Stegostoma tigrinum: one gene and its partner. Each later gene encodes a partner of the first gene's protein in a complex. Links are inferred from orthologs where the notes say so. Each region holds a gene or a part of one and is shown on either strand. Other genes may lie near its edges.

The links. The genes of interacting proteins can lie anywhere in the genome.
Region 2: the proteins of rheb (region 1) and pde6d are in contact, whole or in part, in a crystal structure (PDB 3T5G), measured with the Homo sapiens proteins. The link is inferred for Stegostoma tigrinum from reciprocal best matches to the Homo sapiens genes RHEB and PDE6D. Residues at the interface, in NP_005605.1 of Homo sapiens: Pro2, Gln3, Ser4, Gln57, Asp77, Gln176, Gly177, Lys178, Ser179, Ser180, Cys181; in NP_002592.1 of Homo sapiens: Ile53, Leu54, Cys56, Val59, Val80, Gln85, Cys86, Leu87, Glu88, Glu89, Trp90, Ile109, Glu110, Ala111, Ala112, Pro113, Gln116, Met117, Met118, Leu123, Tyr149.

The regions. Positions count from the first base shown.
Region 1 is NC_081355.1:146,855,406-146,862,671, forward strand, and holds the start of rheb (GTP-binding protein Rheb), read left to right. Parts: upstream 1-4,266; 5' UTR 4,267-4,612; coding exon 4,613-4,664; intron 4,665-7,266. UniProt on the Homo sapiens protein: Small GTPase that acts as an allosteric activator of the canonical mTORC1 complex, an evolutionarily conserved central nutrient sensor that stimulates anabolic reactions and macromolecule biosynthesis to promote cellular biomass generation and growth.
Region 2 is NC_081367.1:37,422,610-37,430,424, forward strand, and holds the start of pde6d (retinal rod rhodopsin-sensitive cGMP 3',5'-cyclic phosphodiesterase subunit delta), read left to right. Parts: upstream 1-4,796; 5' UTR 4,797-4,953; coding exon 4,954-5,003; intron 5,004-5,952; exon of another isoform or gene 5,953-7,815. UniProt on the Homo sapiens protein: Promotes the release of prenylated target proteins from cellular membranes. Modulates the activity of prenylated or palmitoylated Ras family members by regulating their subcellular location.

The sequences.
Region 1 (7,266 bases):
TCCTTCAACAGTACCACTAAACAGTAAAGTTTAGCTTGGACGCAGAGATGGTTTGAGGTGTATATATTTCAATGCTACAAGTATCAGAAATAATGCGGATGAACTTAGAGCACGAGTCGGTCTTGGAACTACAATGTTGTGGCCATTCCAGAAACTTGGGTAACTCAGGGAGAGGAACGGCTGCTGGAGGTTCTGGGATTTAGATGCTCTAAAAGAAATAGGGTGAGGGGAAAAAGAAACGGGGCAGTTGCACTGCTAGCCAGGGCTAATATAGCAGCTACTGAAACACAGTTCGAGAATGATATGTCGAGAGAGTCAGTTTGGTTTGAGGTCCAGAACAACAAAGGAGCAGTCACTTTGTTGGGGTTTTTTTTAAAAACAGATCCCCCTAATAGTTGTAGAGAAGTGGAGAAGCAGATTGGGAGGCAGATACTGGAAAGGTGCAGAAGTCACAGGGTTGTAACCACGGGTGACTTCAACTTTCCAAATATTGATTGGAAACATTTTAGTTGTAATAGTTTAGATGGAGCGGATTTTGTCCAGTGCTTTCAAGAAGGATTCCTGACACATTATGTAGATAGACCAACACAAGGAGAGGGCAAGATAATAAAATGTGAGGCTGGATGAAGACAGCAGGCCCAGCAGTATCTCAGGAGCACAAAAGCTGACGTTTCGGGCCTAGACCCTTCATCAGAGAGGGGGATGGGGTGAGGGTTCTGGAATAAATAGGGAGAGACGGGGAGGCGGACCGAAGTTGGAGAGAAAAGAAGATAGGTGGAGAGGAGAGTATAGGTGGGGAGGTAGGGAGGGAATAGGTCAGTCCAGGGAAGACGGACAGGTCAAGGAGGTGGGATGAGGTTAGTACGTAGGAGATGGAGGTGCGGCTTGGGATGGGAGGAAGGGATGGGTGAGAGGAAGAACAGGTTAGGGAGGCAGTGACAGGTTGGACTGGTTTTGGGATCCAGTGGGGGGGAGAGCTGGGCTGGTTGTGTGGTGCAGTGGGGGGAGGGGACGAAGTGGGCTGGTTTTGGGATGCGGTGGGGGAAGGGGAGATTTTGAAGCTGATGAAGTCCACATTGATACCATTGGGCTGCAAGGTTCCCAAGCGGAATATGAGTTGCTGTTCCTGCAACCTTCGGGTGGCATCATTGTGGCACTGCAGGAGGCCCATGATGGACATGTCATCTAAAGAATGGGAGGGGGAGTGGAAATGGTTTGCAACTGGGAGGTGCAGTTGTTTATTGCGAACCGAGCGGAGGTGTTCTGCAAAGCGGTCTGCAAGCCTCCGCTTGGTTTCCCCAATGTAGAGGAAGCCACACCGGGTACAGTGGATGCAGTATACCACATTGGCAGATGTGGAGGTGAACCTCTGCTTAATGTGGAAAGTCATCTTGGGGCTTGGGATAGGGATGAGGGAGGAGGTGTGGGGGCAAGTGTAGCATTTCCTGCGGTTGCAGGGAAAGGTGCCGGGTGTGGTGAGGTTGGAGGGCAGTGTGGAGTGAACAAGGGAGTCACGGAGAGAGTGGTCTCTCCGGAAAGCAGACAGGGGTGGGGATGGAAAAATGTCTTGGGTGGTGGGGTCGGATTTTAGATGGCGGACGTGTCGGAGGATGATGCGTTGTATCCGGAGGTTGGTGGGGTGGTGTGTGAGAACGAGGGGGATCCTCTTTGGATCCCATAACCAGCCCAGCTTGTCCCCTCCCCCCACTGCACCACACAACCAGCCCAGCTCTTCCCCTCCACCCACTGCATCCCAAAACAAGTCCAACCTGTCTCTGCCTCCCTAACCTGTTCTTCCTCTCACCCATCCCTTCCTCCCACCCCAAGCCGCACCTCCATCTCCTACCTACTAACCTCATCCCACCTCCTTGACCTGTCTGTCTTCCCTGGACTGACCTATCCCCTCCCTACCTCCCCACCTATACTCTCCTCTCCACCTATCTTCTTTTCTCTCCATCTTCAGTCCGCCTCCCCGTCTCTCCCTATTTATTCCAGTTCCCTCTCCCTGTCCCCCTCTCTGATGAAGGGTCTAGGCCCGAAACGTCAGCTTTTGTGCTCCTGAGATGCTGCTGGGCCTGCTGTGTTCATCCAGCCTCACATTTTATTATCTTGGATTCTCCAGCATCTGCAGTTCCCATTATCACTGATACAAGGAGAGGGCATTTTGGATTTGGTGCTTCACAATGAACTGGGCCGAACGTGAGATCTGTTGGCAGGAAAGCATTTCGGCAGTAGTGATCATAACTCTGTTAATTTTACAATACTCATGGAAAAGGATAGGTACATACAGCAGAGTAAGGTTTATAATTGGGGTGGGGGGAGAAGGGTAATTACAATTCCGTTAGGCAAGAACACGGTAACTAAATTGAGAACAGATGCTGTCAGGGAAGAGCACTATCGAAATGTGGAGATTGTTTATGGAATGCATACAGCGTGTGCTCGATGTGTTTGCCCCTGGCAGTAAGGGAAGACGCGGTCACGTGAAGGAGCGCTGGTTCTCATGAGAGGTCGAATGTCTGGTTAAGAGGATGCTTATGTAAGGATTAGGAAACAAGGATTGGAAAAGGCTCTAGAGGGATACAAGTTTTCCAGGAAGGAGCTGAACAAAGAGCTTAGGAGAGCTATAAGGGGGCATGAGAAAACCTTGGTGGATAGGATCAAGGAAAACTTCAGGCCTTTTTACACATACGTGAGAAATAAGAGAACGACCAGAGAAAGGGTAGGGCCAATCAAGGATTGTAAAGGGAATTTGTGCACAGAGCGTAAAGAGATCGGAGAGGTCCTGAATGAATACTTTTCTTCGATATTCACAACTGAGAGGGACCCAGTTGTAGAGGAGTACAGTCTGAAACAGGCTGGTAGGCTAGAGGAGATCGATGTTGGTAAGGAAGATGTACCAGGAATTTTGAGGGAGTTGAAAATAGATAAGTACCCCAGGACTGATGGGATTTATCCAAGGATTCTATGGGAAGCAAGGGAAGAGATCACAGGGCCTTTGGCGATGATCTTTTCACCCTCACTGTCCAAGGATATAGTGCCGGATGATTGGAGAGAGAGAAACAACATTCCCTTGTTCAAAAACGGGAATAGGGATAACCCTGGAAATTACAGGCCAATTACTCTTACGTCAGTGATGGGCAAATTATTGGAAAGGGCTCTGAGATATAGGATTTATGATCACTTGGATAGGCACAACTTGATTTGTGATAGTCAGCATGAATTTGTGAGGCGTAGATCTTGCCTCACAAACCTTATTGAATTCTTTGAAGAGGTTATCAAACACGTGGATGAAGGTGGAGCAGTGGATGTGGTATACATGGTTTTAAGTAAGGTGTTTGATAAGGTTCCCCATGGTAGGCTTTTGCAGAAGGTAAGGAGGCATGGGATAGGCGGAAATGTGGCAGATTGGATTCAGAATTGACTGACCCTAAGAAGGCAAAGGATGGCAGTGGATGGAAAATATTCAACATGGTGCTCAGTTATGAGTGGTGTACCACAAAGACCTGTCCTGGGTTCTCTTCTGTCTGTTGCTCTGACTTTTAGAAGGGGAGCACAATGGCTCGGGGGTTGGCACTGCTGCCTCACAGCACCAGGGACCCAGGTTCAATGCCAGCCTCAGGTGACTGTGTGGAGCTTGCACATTCTTCCTGTGTCTGAGCGGGTTTCCTTCGGGTGCTCCGGTTTCCTTCCATAGTCCAAAGATATGCAGGCTAGGTGGATTGCCCATACTAAATTGTCCATAATAACCAGGGATGCGCACACTTGGTGGATTAGCCAATGGGAAATACAGGGTAACAAAGTGTGGAGCTGGATGAACACAGCAGGCCAAGCAGCATCTTAGGAGCACAAAAGCTGACATTTCGGGCCTAGACCTAAAATACAGGGTTACAGAGTTGGGTAAGGGCGTGGGTCTGAGTGGGATGCTCGTCGGAGGCTCGGTCCAGACTCGATGGGCCAAATGGCCTATTTCCACACTGTAAGGAATTCACTAAAGGGAGGGAATCAAATGAACTTCAATTCCCAGCAATCAGCGCGAGATGCGCGTGTTGGGTAGGGCTTGAGAACGGGGCGGGGTGAACAGACCAGCCGCCAGCGTTGCTGAGAAACCAACACTTGCCCTGCGCGCAGCCGGCACACTGAGGCATGGGAAGGCGGAGTGGGCGGGGAGATATATGATTGACGCACGTTTCAGCCAATCGATACGTGGAAGAAAACGTTAGGCCGGCGGGGTTAGTCCAATAGGCGGCGGTGAGGGGGTGGGTCCTGCCTGTTGGAAGGTTCCGGTTGAATCTGGTGAAGGGGAAAGGGGGCCGGAGCTGCGCCACTACGCGTTTAGAGAGCCCAAAAATAGCAAATACCTGACAGATCATACCTCAGTAGAACAGAAATTACCATTGATTGTGTTTTTTGTTGCTTTCTAAACTCCGTATTTCTTAAAAGAAATCCATGTAGATTAATTTATTGAGGTATTAAGTTCCCACCCCTCCCCCTACTTTTTTTCCTGGGGGGGTTGTCGGCCTGTAATTTGAATTCTTTTAAAAAGGAAATAACAACAGAAACATTTTTTAAAATATAAAAAAGTACTTTTTTTGGCTTGAACCTCGTTGTTAACATGCCACAACCGAAGTCCCGTAAGGTTGCGATATTAGGATACAGATCTGTGGGTGAGTAAAAAGCGTTTGGCACAGCCCAGCCTGTGCACTGAGTGAGCAGTTAACCCAGAGACGGCAGTGCTCTCATCATTTGCAAACATTCGTGCTTGTTCTGCAAGGTCTTGCAACCAGTTTTTATATAGCTGTGCATTGATATGGGGTTAGTAGAGACATCTTAACGTCATTATTACTTGTTATGGAAAATGCTCCAGCTCGATTTTTCTTTTAAAAAATGTTTCCACAAGCTTAGACGTTATTGCTTGTTACACAAGGTCTTGAGAGGAATTTTCATGTGTCTGTGAATAAGACACTGATCTGCATGGTCAGACTAAGACATTCCCGCTTGCTGTATGGAATTTTGTAGCTACGTATTATGTATCACTATTTTCATGAACTCGTTATTTGGGGCCGTTACACCTTTACAAGATCGTGTAATCTTCGCAAATTTGTGTAGGCTGAGCAGGAAGCTGAAAGACGTTGGTTGTTTTCGAAAATCTTGCAACTAGTTGTCCTATATCAGTATTTCCTTAATTTAATCATTTCATGACATTATTGCTTGATCCAGAATATTCCGCAACTGTTTAGATTGTATTTATACATTAGCATAAAACCAAAGATTAAATCTCTGGAATAACTAACCTCGTGTAATGGCTGACTTTCCTTCCTCCCTCAACCTTTACTTTGTTTTACCACGGAATGGTGGTTTGTTACTGGTTTTAGTAACTAATGTTGCTGCCAACAACTCTTAAAGTCTCTTCTCGATTTTAAAAAAACTTTATTAGATTAACTAGCCTTATGCTACGATTGACCATATTCTTTACCAGGATGGAGAACTTTTGTTTTGTATAGTGCGTCGGTGTGATGCATGTTAAATGTGTTTTTCTGGTTTGTTCCAGCGACGTTAATTCACAAAGGAATTCTCTAGGAAACCTAACCCCACGTAATGACTGTCCTTTTACTTCCCCTCCCCCATTCGTTAGCTTTGTTTTAGCTTTTCAGTGACAGCTGGTAGAGAAATAAGCGTTATTACGGTGTGTTTCTTGGAATTTCTGTTTGTGGAGTGCCTTTTAATAAAATATTACAGACTGTAATCGGTAATTTTTGTTTTAAAAGTAGTTTTCTCTGCAAATGTTAACATTGCATAACTACTTTGCGACGTAAATTTCGACTTAAACGTGGTTGGATACACGAGAGGCAATTAGTTCAGTGAAACCTGGTGGATTCGGCTTTTTAAATAGCCGTTCCTTACGGTAAATGGGCCTTTTACCATCGCTCAATGTCGCAATGGCAGATTTTACCCTTTAATTTTAGTCATCTATTTCAGTGTATTATGTTGCGTTAATTTAGTGATGCAGTTTGAACAATGAAGGTTGTTTTACAACAAGTCATTTACCTGAGGGAAAAATGCATTTATGTAATCTGTGCAGGATTTCAATTTTAGATTATTAGTATGTTGGGATTTAATACCAAGCTATTAAAGGTTTAGAAACATAAATTTAAGCAGTGATACTGTCAGCAGAAATAAATGCCTTGATGCATTAAAGCTGAACAGCCAGGAGGATTTTGCTGCAGTTTTCTAATGTTTCAGGCTATCCAGATATCGGCTGCTATCTAAATGTTTATGATCATAGCAATAGATTATTGCCTAATGCAGCAATTGCCTTGCTAATGTTGTGATTCATTTTGGAGCACCCCATGTTTGGCATGCTTTCTGGATGTGGACATAGCAAATGGACTACTTTGAGGGTTATGACTTCTTTTGGTGTATTTTTGGAATCATGAGCCCTTTCTAGCTAAGGAACGTTGTATAGCATATTACCCTTGGAATTCTGTGGCTTTGAAATGTAAACGTTTTTCTGTTGCTGAAAAATTCCTAGCACTTGCATGGAACAGATTAATTCAGTTAGGACCTGGTCATTTTTGCAATTGTGCAGGTTGCCTTGATGAATTTAAACAAATTTAAGCAGTGTTTTTACAAGTATTTCATAGCAAAACAATTTCAACTAAATAGTAAAATAATGGTAAATGCGAGTATGTAAAATCAAGGCCATTGACATGACACTGATAAAATAGCCTGTTTTGCTCAGTGTGTAGTGTCATTCCAGTCCTGAGTTGCGTTATGTCTGTGAAATGTACTCCAACGTGTTGTTGTCATCATACACACAGGTTTTTAAAAAAAAAATTAGCCTGTATTTGTGTATTAGAGTGGGCAGACAGAACAAGCTCTGACAATTGAACCATGATTGGAATCAAAGCTGTGTTGATTTTGTCATTTGGATTATATTGAAAGTGAAATTTCATGTGGCACGTTGCAGTATCAGTGTTCAATCTAATAATCAGGCTTCTGTGGTTCACCTATGGTGTGGCTAACACCAGTTCGCTGTAAACTTACACTAGTTGGAGAATCTTGTATTACTTACAACTAGCTCTCTTTTCAGAATCTTACAGATCTTTTAAAGTAAAGTATTCCTAACTTTTGGGCATTAGCTTGGGCCATCTGGATGTTTAGTTTTTGCCATTGCTTTGACGACACATACTTCATTGCCCTTGCAATAAAGGCCAGTATTCTATAGATCTTCCTAATCATTTATATCACGAAGTTAACATGCACCTA
Region 2 (7,815 bases), on another chromosome or scaffold:
GGCTAAGGCACCCTGCAACGTGCAGACAATAATGAGTTGGGATGTTGTTTACAGTGAATCTGATTGGTTTTCAGCTAACTGAATGATAAGAAACATGAGTCATAGGCTCACAGAAAGACACAGAAGGGTGTACCGCTGTTCTCCCTAGCAGAGATTAAAATGAGTTACTTTTTATGCAGCAGTTGCTGGCAGCTGTAATGTTTGAATTGATAAATCAGAGACATTTCCAAGTGAAGCAGTCACTCTTTTACCTCGGAGAAACCAGTCATCATCAGTTATCACTCACTAACAAGTATGATTGTGCATCTAGGAAGTTCTGTGTCACTGTTCATGAGTTCTGTGGGTGCACGCGTGGCTGATGAACCACATCCTAGAGCTGTACCTCCAACCACACATATGGCAGGTGGAATTGGTTTTTGACCTCAATCACTGGTATTCCTTTCTCCGACTCCAGTTTCATACTTCCACTTACTGATCAGTGTTCTCAAAAAAATTGTGTCCCATTACACGGCAGATTCTTCCAAGTTGGTTTCTTCTGAACCAGCGTCTCTCAGGCACTGATGTCTATTCTGCTTGAGGTAAGCCTCCAGTCTCTGAAGCACTTTCTTTGTCCATCTCTCATTTCGATGCCTTCCATGAGGTGAACAAAGAAGATTTGCTTTGGTAGTCGGAACTCAGGCATCCTAAGCACATGGCCAGCCCAGCAGAGTTGGTTTTGAATGATCATGGTCTTGATGCTGGTGCTATTGGCTCCTTCGAAAATGCTGATATTAGTATGCCTGTCTTCCCAGGTGACGTGGAGAATCCCTCTCAAACAGCATTGATGGTACTTCCCCAGGGCCTTGAAGCGGTGTCTATATGTAAATTAAGTTTAGGAGGCATATAGAAGAATTGGAAGAATGACTACATTATACACAAGGATCTCAGTGGATGTCACAATCTTTGAAGACTCTCATTCTCAGATATTCATTGGTGGTGCTTATGGATTGGATTAGAAGAGAGATGGCTGTTTAGGAAGGGGAAATGTTCTATGTTTGGGAAGATTTCTCCATTGATCTTAATGGAGGGACCGAACAGAACTTGCCCTGGGATGGGCTTCGAAAGGACTTGATTCTTGGAGTTGAGAATGATACCAATTCTTCAATATGATTCTGCAAAGGCATTAAACAAGGTTTGAAGACTGAGAGAGCAGAAATGAAATTCCATGAACTATACTCGTGTGATTTTCTTTTTGGATTTTAATTGTTTGAGGTTTAAAGTTTTCCGTCCATTCTGTGGACAATGTCCACACCACTGGGAAACTTGTGTTCTTGACAAGATGAAGAATGATGGCAATGAAAAGGAAAGAAAGGACATCGGTGGTGACACATCCCTGCTTGACTCATACCTTAACCTCAAAAGATTCTGTCACATTACTGTTGTGAGGACTGTTGCCAACATCTTGCCATAGAAGAGACAAACAATGTTGATGAATTTCACTGGACAGTTGGCCTTTGATAGGGTCTTCAGTAGCAGTTCCCGACTGACTGGATCAAAAACCATGGTCAAGTTGATGCTAGTCATGTAAAGTTGTTGGTGTTGTTCCTGGCATTTATTTTGGAGTCATGTCCATATTTTCACAGTTTGGTCAGAGGCTACACTGGCTTTCAGAAGGATTTATTCAGAGACTGGGAGAAAGTGTCTCAGTGATCTCCCTGGCGACCAATAATGGGGAGATTCTTCAGTTGCTTCCACAGTTCGCTTTGTCTCCTTTCCTGAAGATGGTGGCATTGGCAGCACCCCTGTGATCGTCAGAGATTTCCTCTTTGTCCCAGATTTTGAGGACCAATTTTTGGAGATGATGGGTAAGCTTTGCTCCTCCAAGGTTCAAAATCTCCACTGGAATCCTGTCCACTGCAGTGGCTTTACCATTCGTCATGTGTTTCATGGTGGTTTCAACAAATGCCACTATAGGTGGTAGTCCAGAATCATTCTTGATGGGAGTTGGGAGATTCCCCAACTATAATTTATCACAGTTTTGAGTTTTTTGAAATGTAGGCTTGGTGATGTGGTGCAATGAAAACAATTTGTCACTCCAACACAGTACAACTAAAGAACTGATCATCAACTTCAGAAAGAAAGGAAGAGCACACGCCTCCACCTACATTTAATGGAATTGAGGTTGGGAGAGTGGTGAGCATCAAGTTCCTCGAAGTGACAATATCCAACAAACTGTCCTGGACTTCCCACATAAGTTGTGAGCACATGGAATACTTTGCCAGTGGTAGTCGTGGAAGCTGAGTCATTAGTGACATTTAAGCGACTGCTGGACATGCACATGGACAGCAGTGAATTGAGGGGAATGTAGGTTAGGTTATTTTAGTTTTGGATTAGGATTATTCCACGGCACAACATCATGGGCCGAAGGGCTTGTACTGTGCTGTGCTTTTCTATGTTCTATGTTCTAAATGTGACAATCAAGAAAACACAACAATGCTTCTTTTTCCTCGGGTGGCTCAGGAAATTTGGCATGTCCATAAGGATCCACACCAACTTCTACAGATGCATTATTGAAAGCATACTATCCAGTTACATAACAGCCTGGTATGGCAATTGCTCTGCCTAGGACTACAAGAAACTAAAGAAGGTTGTGTGCACAGCCCAGACCATCACAGAAGCCAACTTTCCATCCATGGGCTCTAGTTACACAGCTCATTGCCACAGAAAGAAGGCCAACATCAGCAAAGACCCATCGCACCCTGGTAATGACCTCCTACAACCTCTTCCGTCAAGCAAGAGATACAGAAGCCTGAACACATGCACAAGCATGTTCAGAAACATCTTCTTTACAGTCATTATCAGCCTGTTAAATGGATTGTAGCCTCAAATAATGTAACCTGTATGTCTCTAAGTATTTTTGATCTGTGTATCCTTGCTTACTGTGATCTGCCTGTATCGCTTGCATATTGAAATACAGTGAAAAGCTTTGTTTATGTTTCAATAAAATCAATCAGTAACATCAACCAATCAATAAAAGACTGTTGTTTTCTCTGACTTTCAAAACAGTTCCAGACTGGTTTGAGGCCAAGGATGTTTGGTCTATATATAGTCTTCATAGCAAATCATTAGAAGATTCCAGGGAAAGTCAACTGAACACGAAGGTTCTGGTTAACTGAAGAAAGAACATCTCAACATTAAAACTGGATAGCAAAGACCACTGAACTGATATTCCAGTTTTGCTTTATCCCTGTCAATAATTTGTTTTCCCTATTTTCTTGTCTCTATGTGTATAATAGGGTATCTATAAGAAGATTAGATTTTGTTACTGGTGTTATATTTACCTGTAACTACAGTCAAATTATCTATAAAAAACAATAGGTTTTGTTTAGGACAGAAACCCGGTCCGTGATATCCTTCAACCTTGCTCTGAAAGTCAGGTAAGTTAGGGTCCTGTGCATATTTTTCAAAACATAAACTTTGGTATGAGTCCAGGAAAGCAGGGCTCCTTTTATGGTAAAAGCCAAGAGAATTGCAGATGCTGTAAATCAGAAACAAAAACGGAAGTTGCTGGAAAAGCTGAGAAGGTCTGGCAGCAGCTGTGAAGAGAAATCAGAGTTAACATTTTGGGTAATAAAATGTGAGGCTGGATGAACACAGCAGGCCCAGCAGCATCTCGGGAGCATAAAAGCTGATGTTTCGGGCCTAGACTGTTCATCAGAGAGGGGGATGGGGTGAGGCTTCTGGAATAAATAGGGAGAGAGGGGGAGGCGGACCGAAGATGGAGAGAAAAGAAGATAGGTGGAGAGGAGAGTATAGCTGGGGAGGTAGAGAGGGGATAGGTCAGTCCAGGGAAGACGGACAGGTCAAGGAGGTGGGATGAGGTGAGTAGGTAGGAGATGGAGGTGCGGCTTGGGGTGGGAGGAAGGGATGGGTGAGAGGAAGAACAGGTTAGGGAGGCAGAGACAGGTTGGACTGGTTTGGGGATGCAGTGGGGGGAGGGGATGAGCTGGGCTGGTTGTGTGGTGCAGTGGGGGGAGGGGACGAACTGGGCTGGTTTTGGGATGCGGTGGGGGAAGGGGAGATTTTGAAGCTGGTGAAGTCCACATTGATATCATTGGGCTGCAGGGTTCCCAAGCGGAATATGAGTTGCTGTTCCTGCAACCTTCGGGTGGCATCATTGTGGCACTGCAGGAGGCCCATGATGGACATGTCATCGAAAGAATGGGCCGGGGAGTGGAAATGGTTTCCCATTATCACTGTTAACATTTTGGGTCTAGTGACACTTCCTCACTTTTGTTTTTGGTCCCTTTATGGTGCTTTCCCAGGAGGTTGTAAACATACAAAGTATATCAACAGATATGGGGAGAGCACTGCAAATGTCAATGAGCAGATAATCTCTTGTGGCAGATGGGCTGAATGGCCCAATGTTCTTCCTATCAATGATACATGTGCTGTCTGTTCATACTTTCACAGGTCGACATCCTGGTGACACTATATCCGACCTCTGACCTGACCAAACTTGACCAGAGTGTCCAGTGAGACCTCTGTGTCAGTTTAATCCAGGATAATGAGATGGTTCAATGAATTACTTTTTCAGGAAAATTAAGCGTGGAGGCCAGTAACAAAAACCATTTCCGCCTGTGATTGACTGTAAAGATGACCAATCGGCCCTGTGCTTTACGACAGTCCCTGCCTCTATAGGGTGGGTCCTCCTGATGAATGGCTGACTGACGGAGATACCCGTAGGTTATTGGTCAATCTCCATGTCAATCGGACGTTGGCACCGGCTAGCCATTCTGATTGGCTGCTGGCGGGTGGAGGTGTTCCGGGCTGCGATGAGCCGAGCGTTGCTGTGGCGATAATCAGCTTGTTGCTCGATTTTACATTTATTGACATTACAGATATTCTTGTTTTCACATTAATCGCTTTAATCCCTTTGTTCCGATCTATCGGAGAAGGATCGGGAGAACTGCAATGTCTTCGAAGGAAGACAGGGCTAAGGAGATTCTGAAGGGCTTTAAGCTGTATCCTTTACCCGTGTGAAGGTTCCTGTTTTACCTAATTTGTGAGCTGCCTGTCCCCGGGGTAAGTGCGGCTTGTAGGCTCGGGGCCGGGGCCGGGGCCTGGGCCTGGGCCTGGGCCTGGGCCTGGGCCTGGGCCTGGACCTGGACCTGGACCTGGACCTGGACCTGGACCTGGACACATGTGAATGCGGATGTTCAGCTCTGATATGCCAACAGCAGCTGTCTGACGATAGTTTGCAGTGGCCCAGGGCGTTGAAGGTGACTCCTCAGGACAGGGCCAAGGAGTCTGCACCCGGCTAATTCCCCAATCTCAGTTTGTGCTGCAAGGGACAGCGATTTAATGCGGTTGCAGCACTGCGCGTTATTTTACTGTCAGGACAAATTATCATCTTTTGAGGCAAAAATAATCCAAAGCGTAACTCAGCTCGTGATATGGGCACGTTTGGGACAAACAGTTGAATTTCCGCTCATTTTAGGATTATTGTTTTGTACTGTTCCAATTGTCAATATGACGAAACGTATCTCCCACGACAGTTTTTGTTAAAGTGCTATTTAAATGTTGTCAAGATCGTCCTTGTGTTGTAGGTGACATTTATGATTAAAAATGGTGCAGGTTGCAAGCTGCTCTACATTACCTATTAAATCAATACATGTCACTCCTGACTAATGACAGTTGGACAGGTTTACTGTCTTAGCGAACAAAATATTGGTTCAGAAAGTTTGATTATAGTAAGTTGACAATAGCTGTTATGATAAGAATGGCAGAGATAGTAGGAACTGCAGATGCTGGAGAATCTGAGGTAACACGGTGTAGAGCTGGATGAACACAACAGGCCAAGCAGCATCAGAGGAGCAGGAGGCTGATGTCTTGGGCCTAGACCCTTCTTCAGAAATATATTTCTGAAGAATGGCCTCTGGCCCCCAAAACATCAGCTTTCCTGCTTCTCTGATGCTGCTTGGCCTGCTGTGTTCATCCAGCTCTAAACCTTGTTATCCCTGATAAGAACAGCAGTTGCTGGGTAGCTCTTTCGAGAGCCAGTACATGATGGGCCAAATGGCCTCCTTTTGAACCATAAAATTTGATGATTTCATTATTGTAAGGATGTTTTTTATTCATTCATGCGAATGTTAGTGTTGTTGGCAAGGTCAGTATTTGTTATGCATCCCTAATTAGCATTGAGCGGTGTTGAGCTGCTGTATAATTTAGTAATATTATAAAATTTTGGGTTTGGTACATTATTTTAATTTCGTTCTTATTAGGTGAGAATTGTTGTGTTCTGATGTTGTTTAAGCCCTCGAAATTTTCAAAGAACTAGTCATTGAGCTTATGTCTGAAAATATATTGGATGGCCTAGATTTTGTGATTAGCATAAAGCAAACAGTGTTAGTCTTTCATTACATTTGGCCACAGATTCTCTCAGGGCTTTTGTACAGTTTCTTGCGGTATTTTGAAAGCTATTTTGGTGCAGTGCCCTCAACTGAGATTTGGGACCTGTCTGAACTGGACAAAGAATTGTGCATCTAATTAACCAATGGGATTTGTGGATCCTCGCTGGAGCATATATTCCTATCCAGGAAGTGTAGATTAGAACAGTTAATTAAATACTAATTAATGTGCAAGGAAGAAGTATATTTAGAGAGATGAGGTAGAAAAGAAAGGGTTTTGTTTTTAAATTCACAATAACAAGTAAAATTTGAAGGAATGAGAACTCCACATATACAGAAATTAATTTTCAAACCTGGTAGGCTGTTTGGCATTAGTTAAGACTTATTTAAGCCATTTAACAAAAAAACTTACACTCAAATGGTCAAACTCTTAGCTTTATAAAATGAGTTCAATGGGTATATAACCTAAATTCTGTGTGTTTCAGTGGTAAGTCTTTGTTGTAATTTATTATTGTACTTTAAGCCTATAGATGAACAGGGCAGCTTGGACAGCTGATTCTGATTTTTTTTGACTTTTGCATTTAATTGTGTGTATGTGAAGTTGCAGTCCAATTTATGCTTCAATAATAGTGCTCTTAGCATATTTCTACCTCCAAATTGATGCATTACAGAGTTTTCTTCAGAGAGTCTTGAATGTGATGCATATCTTTACATTCACTGCAATAAAATTGGCAAGGGTATGAGGAGTAAATAAATAGAAATGTAGGAGGAGAGTAGGCTATTTGACCCTTTTGAACTTGCTTCAACATTCAATAAGATCTTAGCTGATCTGGTTTTGGCCTCATCTCCACTTTCCTCTCTGCACCCAATAACCCTTGACTCCCTAATTAATCCAAAATTTATCTGTCATGAGTAAATGTGAAAGACTTAGTTTATACTGTCATCAAGGGAGACAAAATTCCACAATCTTAATGATCCTTGGTTGGAAAAATTCTCTTCATCTCTATCTTAAAAGAAAGACTGTTTCTTTTTTTCTTTTTAAACTGTGTCATCCATTCTAGCAACCATCTTGTTGAAATCCACCTTTGCAAGATCTAAGATCACCTCACATAGTTATAAACAATGGATATATGCCTAAATAAAATACTAATGATTCCATTAGAATTATTAACAACTAGGCTATCGCTAGTTACTGAAAGATGACCCTGCTAAATACAAGAACCATGATCCCTTACAAGAATCAGCATCTGAAATCGTATTTCATAGAGAAATTGGTGGAAAAAAGAAAAGCTGGAAAACATGAAATGTGAACATAGCAACACAGACCTGTACCACTCCCTTCCTAACAGCACTGTGGTTGACCTGACCCCTGATGGATTGCAACAGTTCAAGAAATGAGCTCACCACTGCCTTCTCTAGGAGAATT